Linked DNA regions of Astyanax mexicanus. The protein of the gene in region 2 binds, or shares a complex with, the protein of the main gene of each other region. Links are inferred from orthologs where the notes say so. Each region holds a gene or a part of one and is shown on either strand. Other genes may lie near its edges.

The links.
Region 1: the proteins of kcnd2 (region 2) and Kv channel-interacting protein 2 are in contact, whole or in part, in a cryo-EM structure (PDB 7UKH), measured with the Homo sapiens proteins. The link is inferred for Astyanax mexicanus from reciprocal best matches to the Homo sapiens genes KCND2 and KCNIP2. Residues at the interface, in NP_036413.1 of Homo sapiens: Val5, Ala7, Trp8, Leu9, Pro10, Phe11, Ala12, Arg13, Ala14, Ala15, Ile17, Gly18, Trp19, Met20, Pro21, Val22, Ala23, Ser24, Gly25, Pro26, Met27, Pro28, Ala29, Pro30, Trp55, Asp57, Arg61, Arg100; in NP_775283.1 of Homo sapiens: Arg112, Gly113, Phe114, Asn116, Glu117, Cys118, Val123, Phe128, Ile131, Tyr132, Gln134, Phe135, Phe136, Tyr144, Leu148, Phe152, Phe165, Leu169, Ile172, Leu173, Arg180, Trp183, Ala184, Leu187, Tyr188, Met201, Met205, Ile208, Met211, His228.

The regions. Positions count from the first base shown.
Region 1 is NC_064432.1:26,945,301-26,957,718, forward strand, and holds the start of Kv channel-interacting protein 2, read right to left. Parts: upstream 4,659-12,418; 5' UTR 4,584-4,658; coding exon 4,576-4,583; intron 4,461-4,575; coding exon 4,378-4,460; intron 1-4,377. UniProt on the Homo sapiens protein: Regulatory subunit of Kv4/D (Shal)-type voltage-gated rapidly inactivating A-type potassium channels. Modulates channel density, inactivation kinetics and rate of recovery from inactivation in a calcium-dependent and isoform-specific manner.
Region 2 is NC_064409.1:7,761,029-7,773,212, reverse strand, and holds the start of kcnd2 (potassium voltage-gated channel subfamily D member 2), read right to left. Parts: upstream 6,214-12,184; 5' UTR 5,337-6,213; intron 4,508-5,336; 5' UTR 4,403-4,507; coding exon 3,291-4,402; intron 1-3,290. UniProt on the Homo sapiens protein: Voltage-gated potassium channel that mediates transmembrane potassium transport in excitable membranes, primarily in the brain. Mediates the major part of the dendritic A-type current I(SA) in brain neurons.

The DNA.
Region 1 (12,418 bases), on a different chromosome or scaffold from region 2:
TAGAGAGAAAATAATAAACATAATAATAAAACATCATAAGTCATAACGAGGGATAATAGTTTAATTTCTCTTTATCACAGAAACTCTTACTGAATTAAATTCTCATCAGACGTGATTTCTGTAATCCAGCTTTGATCTTTTGGTACAGCACGCTCTGAATTAACCAATAGGAGGAGGAGAAAGAGAGAGAAAGATATTTCTGGAGTTCTGTAAGAATCAAAGCTCCGGGTTTATAGAGTCTGCATCTCCCACGCCACCTTAACCCACGCCACCTTAAATCACTGCACGGGTCACCTGCCACCCGTCACCAGTCACCAGCTCCAACCCGGCAGATCTGAGTCAGCCTGCCGCTCCCACACAGCCACGCTTTCACACCACCAACTCACACTGATCCAACATTTACACAATATATATCTCATCCTTTATAAACTCCAATATCTCTAAACACAGCGTTATTATACTACAGAACACTATCAATCTATCAATCAATCAATCAATACTTAAAATTACACTTATACAGAAACCCAAGGACACTTTAGACTCATGTTTTACACAGTTTTTACAACTCATGTTTTGTTTTTGTTTTTCTTTACCATAGCAACACCATAGCAACCTCAAAACAACCACAAAGTCTCAGCAAGCCAACATCTTTATCACAGCAACACCTCAGCAACCACAAATTAACCACAAAGCAAATCCACAGCAACAAACACCTTAACCATATAAACACCTCAGCAACCACAAGGCAAAGCTTTAGCAACCAACACCTTTATCATAGCAACGCCTTAGGAACCAAAAAGCAAAGCCTTAGCAAATCAAAGCCTGAGAAACCAATCAGAATCTCAAAGCAAAGCCTCAGTAACCAACATTTTTACCATAGCAACACCATAGCAACTATGCAGCAACCACAAAGCCTTTTGTTAAAGTTGAGCTTAAACTCCCGGCCACTAGTTGGCAGACGGCGGTTAAATAATATCATTAAAGAATATCATTGCCAAAAAAGTTTGTTTTTATTCAGTAGTGTGTCCAGGCCTGCTGGAAAATGAAATCCGCATCTCCATGAAACCAAAACCATCTCTGATCATCAGTAAAAATATTGCATCAATGTTAAAAGAAATAAACTCTTAAAATAGATCCATCTGTGTTTAATACATCTATATAATATATATGAGTTTCATATTTTAAACTGAATTACAGAAATAAAGTTACTTTTCAATGATATTCAAATTTTTTGAGATGCACTAGTATATTGTGATATCGAAACATGGGCCCTGTATTGTGATGTGTATTGAATCACCAGGTTGTTGTCAATAAACAGCCCTATAGCAGACATACACAAACAAACACACACCAGTGAGAAGCAGCAGCCAATCACACACAGCGTACTCTCAACCGGAAACCACAGTCCACCTGGAGAACTGAATCCAGCACTGAGCGCCACTCAGTATCTTTGGAAGGAAACCCCCACAGATACGAGGAGAAGAGGGAAACTCCTCCCAGGTCGGGACTTGAACACGAACACACTTAGCGCTAAACCACCGTGACAGACCCGCACATTTTATTAGTCTCTCTGCGCTCCACTGCTATAGCTAAACATGTATCGGGTTCTTTAAAGGGTTTGTAATCTATAGATTGATTATTTCACGCCTTCCTCTTGTAGTTCAGTCTTTTTGTAGTTCCAAATAACAAATGGGGGTAAAAAAAAAAGAAGAAACAGGATGGGGTCTGAGTGCTCACATTAATAAATATATATTTTTGTACGATATCAGCACCATGCTTTTCCTCATTTCTGAAAAACACCCATTTTCTGTGCAAAAAGCCACTAAACAGTTCCAGCTTCTGCTCTCAGGATCTGCAGTGAATAACCAATCACAGCCCAGAGCTGTTCTCCATCTGGATTCACCACATTTTATTCACATTAACGCTGATTACCCCAAACACAGTCGAGCCCATGGACATCATTCGGGGAGGGGACGAAGGGGGCGGGGGGACATGTCCCCAGCACTTTTTCAAAAGCCAGATTTGGTCCCCTGCAGTTTTTACGGTTAAAAAACACTTAAAAGTCACGCTATCATACCGGTCAAGTCTCTCGTTTGGGCCGGAAAACCTCTGTATTTTACTCTTCTTTCCCGCCGTCCTCCAGTATTAGTATTTTCCCTTAAATTTCCAGTATAATAGTAAAATTAAATATATATACACATATATTATTGAAGAGACGGGCCACTGACCGCTGTGTGTCTCTTAACCAATCATGGTGCCGTTTCAAGAAGAAAATCCCGCCTTTCAGGAGAAACAGCCACATTTTTTTGTTTTATTATCTTGTGCACTTTACGTATGAAAATAGACATTTATTAATAGTGCGCCTTATAATAAGGTGTGCATTATAGTGCAAATACAAGGAATTCAGCACAAAATAAAGCTAAATATTGAGTGTCCAGCAATATTCCCGCTCTGACATGGCAACCCTACATTAAATCCACTTATTTCCAGCCTGTAAAATCCCCCCGAGACCCAGATGTGTCAACAGTGTGATGAGCAATTCATTTAATCACTAGTGCGAGAAGAGTGAGATAGTGATATCAGCTCCGCTCGCTATTACACTACTCTAAAATCTACTAACCATGCTGCCTGGGTCTCGCTCATCCGTCCATCCATCCATCCATCCATCCATCCATCCATCCACGATGACGAAAAGATCCTTCCTCTTCTTTTTCCCTCTACCTCCATTCATCCATCCATGCATCTATACATATATACACACACATATATATATATATATTCACACACAGTCAGTGCAAACATCTCCAACAGCCCCAAACAAACAGTTCCAACAGGTGAGTTTTAAACCCAAGCAATATGGCCGCCAGCAGAACTACAAAAAAACAGATCCAACCTGGAGTCACCTGAGACTCTAGATAGACCTAAAATAAACAAAATAACATTACCCTGCTGAAGAACCCAGTTTAAGACCAGACTAGCTCATTTCAGACGGTTTAAAATGGTTTAAGATTTAAAAGGTTAAGCTGTTTTAAAAAGCTGGTCATTTGAATCAAACAAAATATATATATTTTTTTTCCTCATTATTTTTGCATCCCATAAGGCACTTTAGAGATAAAGCTATATTATCTAGGGTAGCTAAGTCGATCAAGCACAAGTTAAGATCATTAAAAACTGAGAAATTCAAAGGCAATTCAAATTAAACTTATTATAAAAAAACATTAAATAAATGTAAATACAATTGTAAATACATACATTTCTTTTACATCATCTACTTTTTTTGTTTGCTGAATGGTTATGTATGATGTATATCTCATCCCATAAAGTAATAGCAAAAAGACACTTCTTATATCCTGTATGAAATATAATAATAATAATAATAATAATAATAATAATAATAATTTTTAAAAACCCAATATATCACCCAGCCCTACAGTAGGTTTATGTCTCAAAAAGTACATTAAACACGAATAAAAAATGTCTTAGAAACATTTAAAAACACAAACAAATTGTTGCATTTGAGGAAACCAGCTTCATTGTAAACCAACTAATACAATAAACGCATCAACTAAAAATGAACTAGCCCTTTTACTGGCTTGAGCAGCCATAGGATTTGACTTTTCGAGCAGCTTTATTTCTTAAAAAAGTACCTTAAACATTAAGAAAAATGTCTTATGTCTAAGAAACATTTAGGAAAAATAATTTTGTGCTAAGAAACGTTTGAGAAATCCAGCCCTTATTGTAGACCAACTAAACCTTCAAAAGTATCAAGCAAAAATTAACCAGCTTAATTAACGAGCTTGAGCAGCCATAGGGTTTAGTTCCTCAAGCAAGTTTATTTCTCAAAAAGTACATTAAATATGAAGAAAAATGTCTAAGAAACATTTAAAAACACAAACAAAATGTTGAGTTTAAGATAACTAGCTTCATTGTAGTCCAACTAAACCAGCGTTAATTAACCAGCTTAATAAATTAACCAGCTTGAGCGGTCATAGTGTTTGGGTTCTCCAGCAAGGTGTTTACAGGTGCAATTAATCAATTAACCATTAACCAATCAACCAATTAATTAAGCAATAAATCAACACTTATCAAGAAACTCCCCAAAACCAAAAGCCGGGTCAGCAAAATACACAAAACTGAAAAATATTAGCACGCATGCTAACAACAAACAACCAAACAAACAATCAAACATGCGGTAATTAAGGTTACATGTTTATAAAACCAAAAATATCCAACAATAACCGATAATAACCAACAGTAAACGATTAATACTGAGGTAAACCCTCGTTTTTATGAATAAATATAACGTAATGAGGATTTATTATAATTAAAAATTAACCGCATGTTTGATGTTTCTACAAACAAAACTATCAAACTTACCGGTCAGCTGATCGTAAGATCCATCCAGATCCCTGGAGTCAGACAAGCTCTGGTCCCGGTTCTTCGCCTTCATCTCCACAATCCTACAGAAACACGGAGAACCACGCTGAAACCCGGAGCTCCGGTACCGAGCAGAACCCGACACAACCCAACAGAACCGGATCTAGAACCAGAACCGCAAAAAAGTTACAAACCAACCGGTTCATCCAGCAGAGCGCGCGAGATCTTCACTCCACTGAAATCCAACCAGGATCTGAGCTCGCGAGCTCTCAGCTGATCCTCCACCTCCCTCCCTCTCTCTCTACCACTCTCTCTCTAATACACTCTATACCTCTCTCTACCACTCTCTCTCTCTCTCTAATACACTCTATACCTCTCTCTACCACTCTCTCTCTCTCTCTAATACACTCTATACCTCTCTCTACCACTCTCTCTCTCTCTCTAATACACTCTATACCTCTCTCTACCACTCTCTCTCTCTCTCTAATACACTCTATACCTCTCTCTACCACTCTCTCTCTCTAATACACTCTCTACCTCTCTCTACCACTCTCTCTAATACACACGCTACCTCTCTCTCTCTCTCTCTCTCTCTCTCTATCTCTCTCTATCCCTCTCTCTCTCTAATACACTCTCTACCTCTCTCTCTACCACTCTCTATCTCTCTCTCTCTCTCTAATACACTCTCTACCTCTCTCTCTCTTTCTCTCCCTTTTAATACACTCTACCTCTCTCTACCACTCTCTCTCGCTCTAATACACTCTCTCTACCACTCTTTCTCTCTCTCTCTCTCCTCCTGATATTTTAAATATAGTGGATTTACGTGTTTTCTGCTCCAGTATCTCTCAGTATCCAGGGAGTTTAGCTCAGATTTGTATATAAATATTATATAATCTTTGAGTTATAGATACGGGTCAGCGTTTATCTCACACTTATTCACACTTATTACACACGATTATTCACCACGCAGCTGTACACCACATACAGGACCGGGTTATTTCTCTCCCTCTCTCTCTCCCTCTCTCTCTCTCTCTCTCTCTCTCTCTCTCTCTCTCTGTTTCTCTAAATATCGTTCTATATTCAGTAAGCAGTCAGATCCTGATTCTGAGTCACAGTCAAACACTGTAGGAAATAAACGCTCAATTGCTTGATGGTGTAGAAATATAAATTTGAATTAAATTGTAATATTGTTTTATATTTAGCATTTCTGTTTAAATTCTTAACACTTTCTTTCAGGACTTTCTGGATCCAGCTATAATCAGTAAACAGGACTTTAAAATGAGAAAAAAACATGTCTATAAAACAGTGATAAATGGAAATATTTCACATAAATGAGTGTTTTCCCACAAAATCTTACAGCACTTCATATCTTACAGCTTCCCTCTGCTGATGACAACTTTTATGGAGATGCGGATTTCATTTTCCAGCAGGACTTGGCACACTGCCCACGCTGCTTACCAAAAGTACCACTTGTTCTTATATAATATAATATTCAAATTTTCTAAAACACTATTTTTTATTGGCTGTAAGCCATAATCAATAATCAACAATAAAATAAAAAAATGCTTAAAATGTATCATTCTGTGTCTAATACATGTATATAATATATAAGTTCCACATTTTACACAACTGAATTTACTGAAATAAAGTAACTTTTTAATCATATTCAATTTTTTTTTTTGAGGCAAGGTGATTTCACAAACATGCAGTGATGGAATTACAATCATTTTTATCTCTTTATAATATTTTATCTAAGCTCAAATGAACTAAATATGAAAATAGAAGTGGTATATATATATTTGTAACTGTATTTAGAGGTGTTGGGGTAATAAACTGGCCTCTTTCTGCCCCACCTGGAGCTCTGTGACCTGGTGGGACTCAGGTGTGTGGTATCAGGTGGTATCAGGGTGAGGAGTGGGGCAGTGTGTGGGTCCTCAGATCTCCTATAAATATTAGAACTGTTAGGATTTAAACAATTACAGCTAATTCTTAATCAATAATCAATAGATCTAAATCAGCACTGAAGAACCTGACAGTTATATAAAATACAGTATTACCACCCCATCCCAACCTACGCATCAAACATATAGAGATATACACTTCTGTGTACATATATATACTGTATATATCACCAGTACACACCTTAAATTCAGTGTTTTTATCATTATTTTAAAATGGTATGCATTGTAGGTTTATAATAAAAAACATATATAATTATTTATTAAAGAAAAAAGTGTAAAAACAAAATATTTAATATTTTAGATTCTTCAGAGTAGCTCCTCTTGGTTAAATGACCAGTTTTATACTTTTCTACATTTTTGTACTACAGTTTTTATTCCCTTTATACTGAATATCTACTTATTTTTATTTAAGTGCGTTGCCTACATTTCCTTTGGAAAGTGTCTCTCTCTCTCTGTCTGTCTGTCTCTGTCTATTTCTATGTCTGTCTCATTGTGTATCCGTCTCTCTTTGCCTGTGTCTGTCTCTTTCACTCTGTCTGTATCTCTCTGTCTGTCTTTCTCAGTCTATCTTTCTGTCTATGTCTTTATCTCTCTCTCTGTCTATGTCTCAGTCTGTCTCTCTCTCTGTTTCTCTATAACTATCTGTCTCTCTTTCTATCCCTTTGTCTGTCTGTCTCTGTCTGTATGTCTGTCTCTTTGTCTGTCTCTGTCTCTATCTTTGATTCTCTTTCGTCCTACCTGTCTCTTTCTCTGTCTGTCTTTCACTATTTAGCACTCTTTCTGTGTCTCTCTGTCTATGTCTCAGTCTTTGTCTGTCTCTCTCTGTGTCTATCCCTTTTTCTGTCTCTCTCCGTCTATCTCTGTGTCTGTCTGTCTATCTGTCTCACCTACCTCACCAACCAAACTCATTGTATCCAGTGTTCACTACTCTAATTAAACTCTTTATTATTATTATTATTATTATTGCAGAAATTAAAGCATTAATGGATCGATGGATGAATTAAAGTGAGATTTATTATCTCAGGCGTGAGGAGATATCTCCAGCACTGTTTACACTGCAGCAGAATGAATTAATGAGATAATCTCCACGGGTTCTGGTGTGTAGAACAGTAGTCTGTGTATTTTATGTGAGGGATTGGGTAATAATTGAATTCAGTGGGTGGTAATCGTGAGAAAGGCGGGGGATGGATCGATAGTCTGAGTCATTAAGTGGCCCTGAGTTATCAGAGGGTAAGATCTCATGACACAGATATGAACTCGGACGCTGTACTGAAGCTCTGGCTCCTGCTGGAAAACAAAATCCACGGGAGCTGGAATTCCCTGGGACTCTCTGGGGCACAGTTACCTTACAAAATATATAATCTCATTACTGATTATTAATTACTGATTACTCCTTTAAAAAGTTACTTTATACATTACTTAATTTTAAAAGTAACTACTGAGTGAGATTAGTTACTAATGCACTCCAAATATCTCCATGTATACAGACAACATTTCTCCCAAATTCCAAATAAAAATATTCTCATTTAGAGCATTTATTTATATGCAGAAAATTAAAAAAGATGCAGAGCTTTCAGACCTCAAATAATGTAAAGAAAACAAATTCATATTCATAAAGTTTTAAGAGTTCAGAAATAATCAATATTTGGTGGAATAACCCTGGTTTTTAATCACAGTTTTAATTTCATGCATCTTGGCATCATGTTCTCCTCCACCAGTCTTACACACTGCTTTTGGATAACTTTATGCTGCTTTACTCCTGTTTCTGATTAAACAGAATGGAAAGAGTGGTCGCTACAATTACTCATTGCTGAAAAAAAGGGGTTAAATTAGAGTAACGCATTACTGACATCACTGGCTGTGGCTGGTTCTGTGGCTGGTGCTGTGGCTGGTTCTGTGGCTGGTTCTGTGGCTGGTTCTGTGGCTGGCGCTGTGGCTGGCGCTGTGGCTGGTGCTGTGGCTGGTTCTGTGGCTGGTGCTGTGGCTGGTGCTGTGGCTGGTGCTGTGGCTGGTTCTGTGGCTGGTTCTGTGGCTGGTGCTGTGGCTGGTGCTGTGGCTGGTTCTGTGGCTGGCACTGTGGCTGGCACTGTGGCTGGTTCTGTGGCTGGTGCTGTGGCTGGTGCTGTGGCTGGTGCTGTGGCTGGTTCTGTGGCTGGCGCTGTGGCTGGTGCTGTGGCTGGTGCTGTGGCTGGTTCTGTGGCTGGCACTGTGGCTGGTTCTGTGGCTGGTGCTGTGGCTGGTTCTGTGGCTGGCGCTGTGGCTGGTGCTGTGGCTGGTTCTGTGGCTGGCACTGCCATCCTCTCTGCAGTGTGTAGTGAGAGAGTGTGATATTCATGTTGATGAGTAACCCCTCTGAGAAACACTCTGCCAGTTTATATGTGAGGATTACAGCTGAGGGTGGAGATAAGTGTTTTAAACCGAGTCAGAACCGCTCTGGGTAATTCATGATACTCAGATTAACACAAACACAAAAACCAGACGCCTAAAACCAGCGCATGTCGAAAAACGTTCAAAATTACGCCAAAAAAGCAGCGAAATAACAGCAAACAGAACCAGCATATATTTAGTTCACTACTCAGGAATTAAAGCAAAAACATCCCAGCATAATACAGCCTGATAAACTACTCAAAACTATCAATCTGACCAGTTACGAAGCAAAAGATACGTCCAGGTAGCTGCACTGTTTAAATAGCAATACGCCAAAGTCAGAGCTCACCTGATCTACTCTTGAAGACACTCTGATTCGCCGATAAGCTCAAAACACATCCATGATAATCATCATGTAAAAATATGGCAGCAAATATAAACAACATACCAGAGTGTAGCAAGGTAAAACGGGCTCAAACACAGTAAATCCAGATTAGATTTAAATAGATTTAAATAGTCAAAAATACAAAGATCGGCAATGGAAACAAACAATATGCAAAAATTGAAAGTCTGAAACAAAAACAGGTCGGTAAAAAAGACAATAAACAAAGGAAAATGTGTCATAAAAGCAGTGAATAGAGCAAACTGAGGAGTTTTTATACAAGACACGCCAGGAGAAAGCAATCAGTAACTGGGGGAGCAGGATCAGCAGAGTGCATGCTGGGAATTGCAGTCCTTGTTGTGTAGAGCAGTCAGACTGAGCAGACTTTAAGCATCAGGACTGACACATAAAAAAAATTGTAGTATATTTACACTAATATACTTTAGGTGTGTTACAAACGATGTTAAAAAAAACACAAACTTAAATCTACTGAAGTTTGCACTTAAGTTTACTAAAATAATGTTTTATGATGGGATTTTTTGTAAGAATAAAGTTTAAGGTGACGAGTTTTGAATTTCTGTAATGCGATTGGCCGAGAGAGAAAGGAAGCTGCGGAATTGTCCGAATGGCAGTTTTATATCATGTTTTATTCTTATTTTAGTTTTATTTTTAATTCCTTGTTGTTCTTTTACATGTTTTTAATTGTACTTTTCTTTATTTTAATCATGTTTGAATCAATCATGCTTTAATCCTATTTTAGTTTTTATTTCCATTTTTACTCTTATTCTTTTACATGTTTTTTTAATTTGACTTCTCTGTGTATTTCCTAGTTTGTAAATCACTTTAAATGACCGTTGTGTATGAAAGCTGCTATATAAAAAAATGAACTTGCTTTACCTTGCCTAACTCATACACTGTAATATTAAAGAACTGTAAAACCTCTATTTTAAACTCCACACACTAAAAATTAAACTGCTTCTGATTAAATAGGTGTGAAATGAGTCTCCAGCTCGCTGACGCTGCAGCTCTATAACCAGCAGACTGAAGAGAGGGTCCTGTGAGGTCCTTCCTATCTGCCATTCTTACATCCCACACACACACACACACACACACACACACACACACACACACACTCAGTATGGCGGTTCTCACGGCTCCGGGGGCACGTCGATTGTCCTTGATTACACCGCCTGCATCTTTCATGAGCCTCTCACTGAAACTGAGAGAGTGGACTTTCACAATCCAAACTCTTCAGGGCGTGAGAGTGTGTGTGTGTGTGTGTGTGTGTGTGTGTGTGTGTGTGTGTGGTTGAGCCAAATCCTGCTTTTATTATAAAACAAATAGGCGTGCCCTGATGAAAACTTAATCTACTTAATTGTACTTAAAACATATTAGTTAAAGAGTTAAAGAGGCATGCTTTATTTGGGATCACCTACAACCTTTCCATAGCGGGCAAATCATAAAAGTTTCAAATTTGTTTACATTTACCATTCCACCTTAAATACTGCTGCTGTGGCGACACACAGGCTTCTAAAGGTGGAACAGAACAATGAACAATAAAGAACAAAGAAAAATAAGAATCCAGGTGTAGTTTTATATGGACGGTTGGTAATTACTGGAAATTCAGAGCGAGCTCAATGGCTGTTAAAGCTGGTGTCAGCATCAGCAGCACATGCAACTGTTGACTGACTATTAAGTATGTTAATTAATAATGTTAATCACCATGTAGAGGCGGGGCTTAGTGAGAAGTGGGCGGCATTTTTCAGAGGGTTGCCAATCACCATAAAAATCCTCTTCACACAAATTTCCTTTCCAAACATGGAAACTCTACTACAGCAGGAGCTCATTTTTTTTAAGAGCGTATAATTACATACTTAAGAAATATAGCATTCTGAAATGTGATTGGTTCCTTCAACAGCAATTAAAGTTTAATAAGTATAAAAAACATTTTTTTTAATAAAAGAAGAAGATGCATCTTTATCTGATACTTCAAAGTAGGATGACGCATTGTGAGGTCATGAGGTTATGAGGTCAAAGGTCAGGCTGATCTTAAGCAGCGTCTGGGATCTTCTATAGGTTTAATCCATTGTTTTAAGATTAAAATGCTGCAGGATGTTCTCTAAGAACAGCTTCTGATCCCTTCCAATCAAATTCTCTCAGTTAGAAAGAGTCATATTTTAAATGAATTAAAATGTATTTTATGTGGAATTACAACAATTATCTGTATTTAAACTAACTTTCAGTTTATTATACACAAGCTTTATGTACAGTATATTGAGTTTATGGAGAATTTGAAACTGAAATGAAAGCTGCTTTATTAATTCTATTTGCAGCAGTATATATATATATATATATATTTTTTTTTTTTTGGAAAACCTGAAGTTTTAAAGTAGATTTTATTTTGGGTAACTAAATACAAAAACTCTGTTAGTGTGACATATACACAGTATTTTTCTGTTTTCTTTTTTTAATTGCAAATTAATGCAAAATTACAATAATTATCTATACTTAAGGTAGAATTTGGCCTGGGGCATGAACCTCAGTCCGTACTCTGGTTTGTAGATTCGGGTGTCACAACGTACTTAAAAATGCACTTAACGTAACGCTAAACCAAGCTTTTGTTCTGTTTTTAATTCACTCCATCTCTAAAAAGCAGAGGAAACTGAAAAATACAGCATTTAAAAGCTGAGAGGCATTAAAACATTAAAATCTGATGATATATCGTGTGATATGTGTGCTGTTCGGATGCTTTCAGGAACTTTTGAGGATTTTTTTTATGAGAAAACAGATCAGGAATGGAGTGCAGATTGGAATCAATGATTCTAATCATTGTTTATGTTTAAGTATGTGTTGATATGAGTCTCTGAGCCGTGGGGAAACTCAGAGACGACACAGAGCTCTCCTCAGACACCGGATTAAACTACAGAACTGAACAGTAAAGAGAAATAAAGCAGTAAAACAGCCACTAAAACTTACTGAAGGAGAGATTATTATTATTATTATTATTTAGTTTTAATTAATATTTATAAATGCATTAGCATGGCTTAGGCTAAAGATTTTAACGACGATACTTTTCTAATATTAAAATATCGTCCAACACTAGTTGTATATTCTATTATTCACTGTTTATGAATGACATGTTTCAGATTTATTTATGTTTCAGGTTTGGGTTTCAGTTTTCAGTGCATCAGTGGTGAAATAGTGATGCTATCTGAGAGGCGAGTGCAGCTGCTGATGTTGATACCCAATAAAGGTCTACGTTTCTCTTGAGTATTTTAAAAGCTTCTCATAAAAAGATGTGAAACGGGTCCGTTTGGTGCTGCATTCAGCA
Region 2 (12,184 bases):
AATGGCATATTCAAAATTGGGGTTTGTGTACAGCAGGGGTGTCCAAACTACGGCTCGTGGGCCTTTTGCGGCCCGTTTCCTTTTTTGGAGCGGCCCGCGAGGTATTTTAGAAATAGAATGAAAGTTGGCCCGCTGTTTAAGCAGGTTTTTATAATGTGAGATTCAAAGTTTGAACGCTAGGAGTCAGAAACGGGCCAAAGAGTCTAAAAGCGGAGAGGGTGCGCATTTCTAGCACAGAAAAAAAAACAGCAAAAGAGTCTAAAAGGGGAGAGGGTGCGCATTTCTAGCGCAGAAAAACGGGCCAAAGAGTCTAAAATCGGAGAGGGTGCGCATTTCTAGCGCAGAAAAACGGGCCAAAGAGTCTAAAATCGGAGAGGGTGCGCATTTCTAGCGCAGAAAAACGGGGCAAAAGAGTCTAAAAGCAGAGAGGGTGCGCATTTCTGTGGTATATTTCATTATTTGTTTATTACAGAGTGTGGCCCGTTTATTTCTCCTTCTGGCCCCCAACAAAAAAAGTTTGGACATCCCTGGTCTACAGTCTCACTCTATAGGAGGACATTTTATATATATTTTTTTATAAGGCTACATAATAGGATGCTCTAGAACCAAGTACAGCACCAAGACTTAAGACAAGCTCAAGATAAGCTGCTAAGACACAGATGCTAATTCACGAGGTAGGACAACGAGGAAGGCAGCCTGCATATTGTTGAAGCCGATGCGTAAAATCAGCTCGAATGTCCCTCTGTGGATTTGAACAGTGAAGGCTTTAAGTGAGAATTACAGCCCGCTGACCTGTTCTGTGTAGTCTATCGGCTCGATCTGGGCGTACTGCCATTCGCAGTTTCGTGTTATGACAGAAACTGCAGCGCACTTCAAAATCAGGCTGATCAAAGCGCCAGTTGTGTGCTGGAGCGCACGGTTGGGTTATTGCCCCGGAGTGTGACTCACCCCCCCGTGTGGGCCTGGCAGCATCCGTCTCTCCCGAACAGCCCAGCAGAGCCGCTGGGCAGAGCATGCGGCATGCGGGCAACCGCTCCAGCACCACGGAGAGCGCCCTGCCAGGCAGGTGGGAGGCACGGAGAAGCGCGCTGAGCCGGGGAGCGAGCCAATTAATGAATGGGAAAACACATCAATAGGGATGTATTACTGTAATCGCCTCGGATGCTCCGCATCGTAATAGCTGCGCCGGCGGTCTTCCTCTCGGCTCCCCTCCAATATGGTTTCTTCGCTGCCACTGCTGCCACTGCTTCAACTGCCACAGGATACAGCCACTACTGGAGGCGAACACATCTGTTGGTGAATGATACGGAGTGGAAGACATGCAATGTGTTCCTAGATAGCATGCTAGAATGCATATAAAATCTTGACACTTCTACAGCAATCCATATTAAAAAAGGCTCTATAAATCAAGAAATACAATTATATGTGTGTTTATGAGAAATATTGCTTGTAATGAGGTTCACCTGCCTCTAATTCCTGTTCTATATTTGGCTCTTCACTTACTGCAATGCTGTTTAAGTACAGATATTACTCAAAACCAGTACAAGCGAATGCTGCTTCGCCAAAAAAAAATCCCACCAAGAACAGACCACCGCTCATCTACACTTACTCACACACTCACTCTCATACTCACTCACACATACATACATACATACATACACACAATCAAAAAATGTTGACAATTTGGGGACCTTATCTGGTCCCCACTTCTACAGCAATCCATATAAAAAAGGCTCCATAAATCAAAAAATACAATTATGTGTGTGTTTATGAGAAATATTGCTTGTAATGAAGTTCACCTATATAGAAAGGCTCCATGAATCTAGAAACACAAATATATAAGCAATATGTGTATGTGTGTGTATGTGATTATAAATTTAGCTTGTAATGAGCTTCCTCTGCCCTTAATGCCTGTTCTATATATGGCTCTCCACTGTAATGCTGTTGTTGTACAAATATTACTCAAAACAGTACAAGCGAATGCTGTGAACACTCTACTGCTCCGCCAGCAGCATGAAGTGTTTCCTTTCCACCAAGAACAGACCACCACTCATCTACACTTACACATCCATACATACATACAAACATGCATACATACACACAATCTCAAAATGTTGACAATTCTACAGCAATCCATAAAAAGGCTCCATAAATCTAGAAACACAAATATATATTAGCAATATATGTGTGTATGTAAAATACTATATTGCTTGTAATGATCTTCCCCTGCCCTTAATGCATGTTCTATATTTGGCTCTCCACTTACTGTAATGCTGTTATAGTACAGATATTACTCGAAACCAGTACAGTAGAATGCTTGCACTGCGAATGTTGTGAACACTCCACTGCTCCGCCAGCAGCATGAAGTGTTTCCTTGGTTAAAAAGAAATATATATAAAAATCCCACCAAGAACAGACCACGGCTTATCTACACTCACACATACATACATATACACACTCTCAAAATGTTGACAATTTGGGGACCTTATCTGGTCCCCACTTCTACAGCAATCCATGTAGAAAGGCTCCATTAATCAAGAAACATAAATATATGTGCAATATATGATGTGTGTTTATGTGAAATACTGTATTGCTTGTAATGAGCTTCCCTCTGCACTTAATGCATGTTCTATATTTAGCTCTCCACTTGCTGTAATGCTGTTATAGTACAGATATTACTCGAAACCAGTACAATAGAATGCTTGTATTGTGAATGCTGTGAACACTACACTGCTCCGCCAGCAGCATGAAGTGTTTCCTTGGTTAAAAAGAAATATATATTTATATAAATCCCACCATGAACAGACCACTGCTCATCTACACTCACACATACATACATACATACATACATACATACATACACACTCTCAAAATGTTGACAATTTGGGGACCTTATCTGGTCCCCACTTCTACAGCAATCCATATAGAAAGGCTCCATGAAACTAAAAATACAAATATATGTGCAATATATGTGTGTGTGTATGTAAAATACTGTATTGCTTGTAATAAGCGTCGCTTGCCCTAAATGCATGTTTTATATTTAGCTCTCCACTTACTGTTATGCTGTTATAGTACAAATATTACTGGAAACCAGTACAATAGAATGCTTGTACTGCGAATGCTGTGAACACTCTACTGCTCCGCCAGCAGCATGAAGTGTTAAAAAAAAATCCCACCAAGAACAGACCACCGCTCATCTACACTCACTCACACATACACTCACACATACATGCATACATATATACACACACTCTCGCAAGCTCCCCATCCCAGAACCCCTCAGCACCTACCCCAGCGTAGTCATGGTGACGATGGTGTACCAGAAGGCGGCAGGGATGCTGGTGAACTTGCTTGAGTTGGAGCCTTTCTCAGCATAGAACATAACGGTCGCAAAGATGATGATGGCCATAGTGAGGGAGAAGAGGAGGAAGCCCAGCTCGGAGGCGCAGCTCTTCAGCGTATAGCCCAGGATGCGCAGGCCCGCCGAGTGGCGCGAGAACTTGAAGATACGGAAGACGCGGAAGACCCTCAGTGTGACGAAGGCGCCGCTCACATCCTCGTTGTCCGTCATGACCAGGCCGATGTAGTATGGCATGATGGCCACCACGTCGATGATGCTCATCACACTCTTCACAAACTTGTAGCGGCTGGGCGCGGCGATCAGGCGCAGCAGGTACTCCACGGTGAAGATCATCACGCATGCTGTGTCCAGGCAAAAGAAAGCCAGGGCATACCGCTCACCACAAGATACATCCTTCACCCGGTTGAACGATGTGCCACACGGCACTGTTTCCACCACGTTGGCCATGACGGACACGGCGATAAAGAAGCCTGTGACATAGTAGAATACCAGAGCCATGGTGCTGGTGTGGGGGTTCTCAAAAGCACGCCACATGGACTGGCGCATGGTCATGTCCGGCGGCGTCATCTCTTTGCCGTTCTCATTGTCCTCGTCGTCCTGGATGCGCTCGGTGTTCTCCCGGCGCCGGTCCTTGTACTCTTCGTAGCAGCAGTCGCCAATAATCTCGGGGATGATGCCGAAAAAGGCCAGCTCCTCGTCGTAGGCTGAGATGCACTCGTGGCGCGGGTAGTGCAGCTTTCCCGTGCGGTAGAAGTTGAGGATGTGCCGGAAGATGTCTGGATCGCGGTCGAAGAAGTACTCGTTGGTCTCCTCGTGGTAGAAAAAGTCGCGCTCCGTGCTGCCAAGCAGGGTGTCGGGGTACCTCTCCAGGGTGTTCCGCCATGTCTGGAACTTGGTGCCGCTCACATTCAGGATGATGAAGCCTTCTTGGGACCGTCGCTTGTCGTGCGGCGGCGGGGGCATGGGGGCGCTGGCCACGGGCATCCAGCCTATGGCTGCAGCGCGTGCGAAGGGCAGCCATGCCGCGACTCCGGCTGCCATGGTCAGCTGCTGGGTGCGAGCTGGACAGGGTCAGACAGACTTGAGACTCACTGTGGGACACACACTGGACTGCACTCAGAGGTCCACCACGAGGACAAGGCACATCTGGAGAGCAAACAGGGTGAACTGAGTAAACTGAGTAAGTAAATCAGAGAAGTCACCCAAAGGGCAGCAGAGGGCATGCTGTTTTTTATTATTATTAATATTATCTTAATGTAAGATGCATGCATGCTTTATACATGCATGCTAAATAGCAGAAATCTTAAACCATGATCCTAGAAAGCCTAGAAATCATTCATCAGGTTACACCTCCATCAAACACCAAATCTAACACAACACAATCAACTCAAGCAAACTGATCATAGAGACATCAATTAGATTTGGACAAGCATGATTGATTGATTGATTTATTAATTAACTGATTAATCGATTAATCGATTAATTGATTGATTGATTGGTTGATTGGTTGATTGATTGATTGATTGACTGACTGATTGGAGCCAAAGTTTGCTAGAAGGTCACTCTCTCTAGGAGCAGGGTTGAAAACTCCTGCTGTACTGCAGGTAAGACTCAAATCTGTGAAAACTAAAGGAAAGCAATAAACTCAAGCGATAGTATTATCAAGGACTGGAAAAATGGAGGGCTCCCTTTTGTCCATAAAAACTAAATAAATGGTACAAAACTCTTATTCTTGGGGAGACTCTCAAGGGCATATCTTCTGTCCCTTTAGTTTAAGAAATACATCATTCTAATACACTCCAATTCATTTGCAGTAGTTGCCTTTTCCTACTTTTACAGCACAGAACAGACTTGTAACTACATTTTGATGGAACATTTGAGGGTTTGTATCTCTAGAATATCTTTTTCATCTGACTGAGGATCATTTTACAAGCATGCAAATTTACAGACAAGGCTTTCAGCACGTTCTACTCACCTCCACATAAATCCACTCACTCTTGCTCAAAAAGCAGTTGGCATGAATCACACAATCCGCTCTCTCTTTTTCTCTCTCTTAAAACTTCAATCAGACAACACTTTGGTTGAAACCAAGAATAACCAAGAATAAAAGTATCCCAAACGAAGAAACGTCCTCCAGCGTGCTCGGAAAGGGCGCAGCAACAAGTTCAGCACTAAGGTAGTTGGTGGATCGCGGTTGGGGCAGTCAGCCAAGGACACTTCTGCAGACGGAGCTTCTGCAGCTGCTGCAGCTTCTAAACCGCTTTGGAGTGAAACTCTTCTTTTTCTGCAAAGCCTCGCAGCTCACAGGTCCATTCATTAACACCACGGCGAGGGACCCCCTTTGGAGAAGCGTGCGTGCGCGTGCGTGCGTGGGGGAGCGAAAAGGAGGGGAATCCAGCTTGCGTCTCCGTGTCCGTTAGTTACCACGCGCTTCTACTCCGTCTGCGGTAAAATGATGATCTCATGAATTGAAGGAAAACAATAGCGTAGAAAAATCCACATATGCTCACACACACACAATGCTGGCGCGCGCGAGGAAAAAGGCAGAAATGGCACAAATCGCAGAAATACAGCACAGGACCGGGTGGTGTTCCTTATACCCAGCCAGCCAGCAAGCCAATGAACGAACAAACGCGCGCGCGCGCTGCAGAAGTTGAAGCTCCGTGCACCTCCTCCTCCTCTCTCCGAGCTCGCGCGCGTAAGAAAGCGCAAACGCGAGAAAGAGAGAAAGCGAGAGAGAGAGAGAGAGAGAGAGAGAGAGAGAGAGAGAGAGAGAGAGAGAGAGAGAGAGAGAGAGAGAGAGAGAGAGAGCTCCTTTTGGAGGTGCGTCACGTGCTCAAGGCATCTACGAAACCAAGCCCCCCTCAGGAACCGGCAGCGTGCTCGTGGTCGTGCTCTCTGTTCTGTTTTACGCTAAGCTCGTGCGGGGAAAAAAAAAACTGCACCACGCGCAAAAGTATGGTTAGTAATGGTTAGTATGGTGACTCGCACGCGCTTTTTCCACTGGATGCGTGTTGTATAGTGTATGGGAGGTGTCGTATAGTAATTATGCGTGACCTGAGCTGGAAGGCTGGTGAGGAGCGCACGGTGGCAGGGGGAGGGGGGGCGGGGGGGGGGGCATGGTTTCTGCATGCTCTTCTCGTGTCTTTTAATGCGCGCGCAGACGCGAAGCCGCTAGATGGAGACAGGTTTCAGTGGCTCGCGCGCCAGGAGCGAGCCAGCCTCACAAGCTGAGAGCGTGAGAGACAGAGACAGAGAGAGAGAGAGAGAGAGAGAGAGAGAGAGAGAGAGAGAGATGAGCTCGTGCAGTTGCTTAGGTGTGCTCGAGTCATCAGCGTAAACGCACGAGCGCTAAGCCTGGTGGAGGGGAGTAGGGGTCCTCACGGCGTTACGTGTCAAATGGGAATCATCACTGTTATGAATCATATCGTTCAGATTTGAATGGAAATTCAACTGGTAAAGCTCTTAATGATCATTAATCACGTGATCAAAGACTAAGGAAGGGTCTGATTATAAGTAAAGGATGACTTTTATATAATAAGCTAAATGAAATGCACCCACTGAATGCAAATTGTACCTATATGTAATAATCAGCACATAAATCGAAAAATATCTTGTCAATGAAATGCTAGATATTTTTCACAGCTTCTCCACAATTAAACAATTTTGGTGTGAATAAAGCCAGTTTCATTGTAACATGTCTGATTAAATGTATGTGCGATTACACTTGAGCATATTTCAAAGTTTAAAAAAAAATCACATTGACTGACCTTCATTTCTTAACCCTTGGATGCATGGATGACCAATACCTACACTCTTCCATGAGTGGGGTCGAAAATGACCCCAATTAGAATCAAAGTGTTTTTGCAATGAATACAAAAAATGCCCTTAATTTTGGTTAAAGGTGATTATATTTATTATATTTGGGTCAACAAAAGACAGATTTTACATTTAACATATTGCATATTTACAACTTTTGTAACATTTTTCCACAAGAAATAACATCAAAATCTTTAAAAATTATTGTTAGTATGTCCATGTGTCTGCAGGACAAAAAAGTAATATCAGAACACTGTCCACTCACATTTGCCCGCACAAAATTATTTTCTCTATTAACTGTGTGCAATTTTCACAAACTATTGGCTTTTGGTTGTGATCATTGCACACCGGGGTACTGCATTTCCAACAGCAATTGGTGGCTTTGTGATCTTTGTTTCTTGGACACATCTGGCACCTCTTTCTCTTGTGTCTGCCCTCTTTGCCTCTCTCCCTGTTGCTGGTTGGCAGTTTTTTTCACTCCACACCTTTCCATTGCTTCAGTGATGTAGGTTGGTAGGTTCGGGGTACCTTCCAGTCGACTTTTATGTGAGGAGTTACAAGCTCCTTTGATCTGTGATGTCAGATCCCGAGTCAATCCCACCGATGGGCTCTTCATCGATCATTCGATGGGTTCAGGATCATATCTCGAGCAAGGTCTTCGGGTCTCCTAGCTGGCCTCTGTGTAGCCATGATAGTTTGGATGAGAAAACATAAAACAGACAATGTTTGAATGACACACAAAACAATAAATCAATATGTAGCTATCTAAGTAAATCTAAGTAAGTCTGTGCATTTATATCAGACAAACCAAGTCTCCCTGAAGCTGCGGGAGTCTCCCGCATTTCGGCAGTGGCTCCCGGATGCCCGCGAGTCACATATAATCTCCCGTAATTCAGAACGAGTGCCCCAAGAGTGCACTGCACGCAAACGTGTACACAGGCAACAGACTTTCTTCTCTAGTCGCGTGTGGGAAGGAGAGAGACAAAACAGAGAGGGCTCTGATTGGCCTGTTCTCTGCAAAGAGTCTGCGAGACAGCCAATCAGTTTTTAGTGTGGGCGGGCAGTGTTTTTCCCCCCTCCCGGATGGGATTTGTTCAGAGAGTGAGAGAAAGCAGATCATGGCGGAGGCAATATTAATAATTATTGTAATATGATATGAAATGTTTTTGATTTTGTGCAATTTCTTGTGATATTGTTACTGTCAATTTTTGTCAGATAAAAAAAGCATAGGGTTAGGGTTAGGGTTAGGCATTCCAAAAAAGAAAAAAGATAAAACTCATTTTATTTCAACTCTGAATACTCTAAATTTTATTTAAAAAAAAACGTCAAATTAATTAATATAAAATTAAAGTTTCGTTATCATTTGGTGAGTTGGGGGGGATGGGCTCCCTGAAATCAACTTTTGCAACTTGGGATGTCTGTTATATGTAACTAAAAGCACAGACATACATGTGCGCCCACACACACACAATCAATAATGATATAATAGGTTACCTAACAGGTTAGCTTTTATTATACGGAATCATGAATACAATGAGTCTCTACATAACAAATGCAGTAATATCAGCTAGCTTACTAAGCTAGTGTAATGTTAGCTAGCTAAGTAAGCCAGCAAACATAGAACTAACATTACTACTAAGATTATTTTGTAGTTAGCTAACTATTGTCTACTTTGTTGACCAACATGATACTCTATGAGAGAAAAGGCATGGAGTTGATAAATAAAGATAATACTTACATGTATGCTGCTGCTGACCTCCTGGTGGTGAGAATGCAGGTATCAGATGTGTAAGTGGGACAGAACATGTATCCTGACACTCACATTTGGCAAGAATCAAAGATTCCCAAAGAAAACCCTTGAGAATCTGTAGGAAATGCTTGGGGTCATTTTTGACCCCACATATGGAAAACTGGGGTAGTGACACAAAAACTGCAATTCCTTAAAATGTATAAAAACATTTTAAAAAATTCAAATGGCCTCAAGTCACAAACATGTTTTATGAGGAATACCTGGAAAATGGAAGTGTAAAAACGTTTAATTTCAGAGAGTTTGAAGAATAACAACCCTCGGGGTCATTTTTGACCCCACTTATGCATCTAAGGGTTAAGTTTCTTTTCTTTTTTTTTACTTAGTTGAGTAGTTCTTGCTTCTGATAATGTGGATTAGAACATTACTCAAAATAGAGTAAAAATTCACTGTATACCTGTAACTCTATAATACATAAAATCTTAATACATAAAATATGTTTCTCTTATTTTTTTATATTTTTTATTTATTTATTTATTTTGTTTATTTATTATTACTTTTATTTTTTTATTTTAATTTTAATGTTCATTTTTCATTCTTGATCTTAGTTCTATTATTCATTTTATCACTTATCATTTTTAACATTTTACTTTACATTTACTTTTACTTTTTACTTATTTTATATTTTATACATTTTTTTTTACTTTGTATGTGTAAAATATGTTTTTTTAATGATATTTGTGAATGATCTGTTTTACATATATATTTTTATTAAATGTTGATTTAAAATGAGTATTTCTTTTATTTTTTAATATTTTTACTATTTTATTTCTTATTATTTCCAAATTATTATTAAATGTGTTCAATCCATTTGCTGTTACAAAGCTCGGCAACATTGAAAATAAATCAATGTTTTTTTTTCCTGGGGGTTGAATGAAGGTTGATTGATTGATTGATTGATTGATTGATAAATGTATAATTTATTAAGTAATCGCAGCTGTCATCGTTCAGAGGGAGCAAAGTTGGCCCTGCACCCTCCGGCTGGGTAGATGGCGCTCTCTCCTCACATAACTAAAAGGGTGATGTCGATCAGCACAAGGCATCTGTGAGCTGATGTATCGGAACCAAGTCGCTGGGAAGAAAATTAAATAAAATTATATTAAAATATATATATATATATATTACAAAATCGTTTACAACAAAAGTTTTAGGTTTTGTCAACTTATTGGGTTTTACAGTGTGCTAAACTGTAGCATAGGAATGCACCACTGATGGTGAGAACATTCCAACATATGCATGGTGTGACTGCTGACTGGAGGCGTCTGTGATTAGTGCACAGTCGTGCTCCCCCGGAGGAGGAGGCTGTTTCACGCTCCCCACAGAGTCTGCAGTTAAGGTGCATGAGCTCCAGCTCCACCACAGCTGTGTCAGTCCCGCAGTGTGTGTGTGTGTGTGTATGGCAGGGACTCTTAATGAACTACCTCCAGCCTGCAGTGCCTCCTGAATTAGACACATGCACACTGGATGAGTGTGTGAGTGAGTGAGAGAGAGAGAGAGAGAGAGAGAGAGAGAGAGAGAGAGAAACAATGAGAGATAAAAACATCTACAGATGTTTCAGCATCACAGAGAGTGACAACCGTGGCTAACTGCACTACATATGCTCCACCCACAAGTGTTGCCATTATTATAATTTATACATAACAGACAGTATTGATATTATCAGGTAGACTGAGCACAATGGGAGCACAGTGATATAGAGACATGATCAAAAAATGATGGATTGTCTGTCATGTGTGGAGTATAGGGGTGAGCGATATGGCCCTAAAATAATATCACGATATTTCATGGTGTTTTCGCTGTAACGGTACTCTTGGTGATATGAAAAAAAAAAAAAAACAGATTAAAAAAATATTTAAAGATTACGCTAATGCAACAAAATGGAAAAAAAAACAATACATTTTATTATTACATATGATAATTGTTTGAAATTGACTTCTGAACTCTTAAAACTTTATGAATATGAACTTGTTTTCTGAAAGCTCTGCATCTTTTTTTTACTTATTTCAGCCATTTTTCATTTTCTGCAAATAAATGCTCTAAATTACAATATTTGTTTTTGGAATTTGGGAGAAATGCTGTCTATATGTGTTGTTTATATAATAAAACAACCATGTTCATTTTACTCAAATATATACCTGTAAACATCAAAATCAGAGAAACTGATTCAGAAACTGACATGGTCTCTTTTTTTTTTTCCAAAGCTGTATAATGGCTATAACCCTAATAGTCATACTGCCATGTTTATTTAAATGCTTATAATTAGCTTAATTGAATGAATGTGTATGTATTATTTTCCGGAAGCCTTGGTCAGATCAGTAAGGTTTCTACAGTAGATTACAGTAATATGTACATAATTACAGCTTTCAGATAAACAGTACCTTACTGGAAAAGCACGATTAGCCTCGGCAAATTAAAAAATTGGATTACTTCAATACACTGTAATTGTGAACAGCTGCCACCATTTCATTACTGTAGATGTCCTGTGTTGATATGAACGCTTGTTCTTTGGTTTGGGTTCTGGGTGGGTTTGTATGGGAAACTGGTCATATTGGTGCATTAAAAATGGTCTATTTCAAGACTCTTTGCAAACACTGCTGTTGGATCTTATTGTGCCTAAAGATAATTTTTTGCACCAGAAGTGCAGGCATAAAGTTATCCAAAAGCAGTGTGTAAGACTGGTGGAGGAGAACATGATGCCAAGATGTCCGAAAACTGTGATTAAAAACCAGGGTTATTCCACCAAATATTGATTTCTGACTCTTAAACCTTTATGAATATGAACTTGTTTTCTTTGCATTATTTGAGGTCTGAAAGCTCTGCATCATTTTGTTTTTGTTATTTCAGTTATTTCTCATTTTCTGCAAATAAATGCATATAGATGACATAAGCATGTAAGCAATGGTAAAATAACTAAGTTGAATTTACTTAACAAATTTGAGGAAACCGGTTGCCTTAAAAAAAGAAAAAAGTTAAGTAATGGATAATGACAACTTAAGTTTGCATAACTTAGAACATCAAGTTACTACAACTAAAGGGGAAGTTGGTTTATTTGGTTGATTAATTTTGTTATACTGTAAGACCAGATCGATTTAACTTTTAAGTTAAATCGTTAAATTTAAGGCAGCTGGTTTGCTCAAATTTCTGAGATGAATTTACTTAGAAAAAATGTGAGGAAACCGGTTGCCTTAAAATGGAAA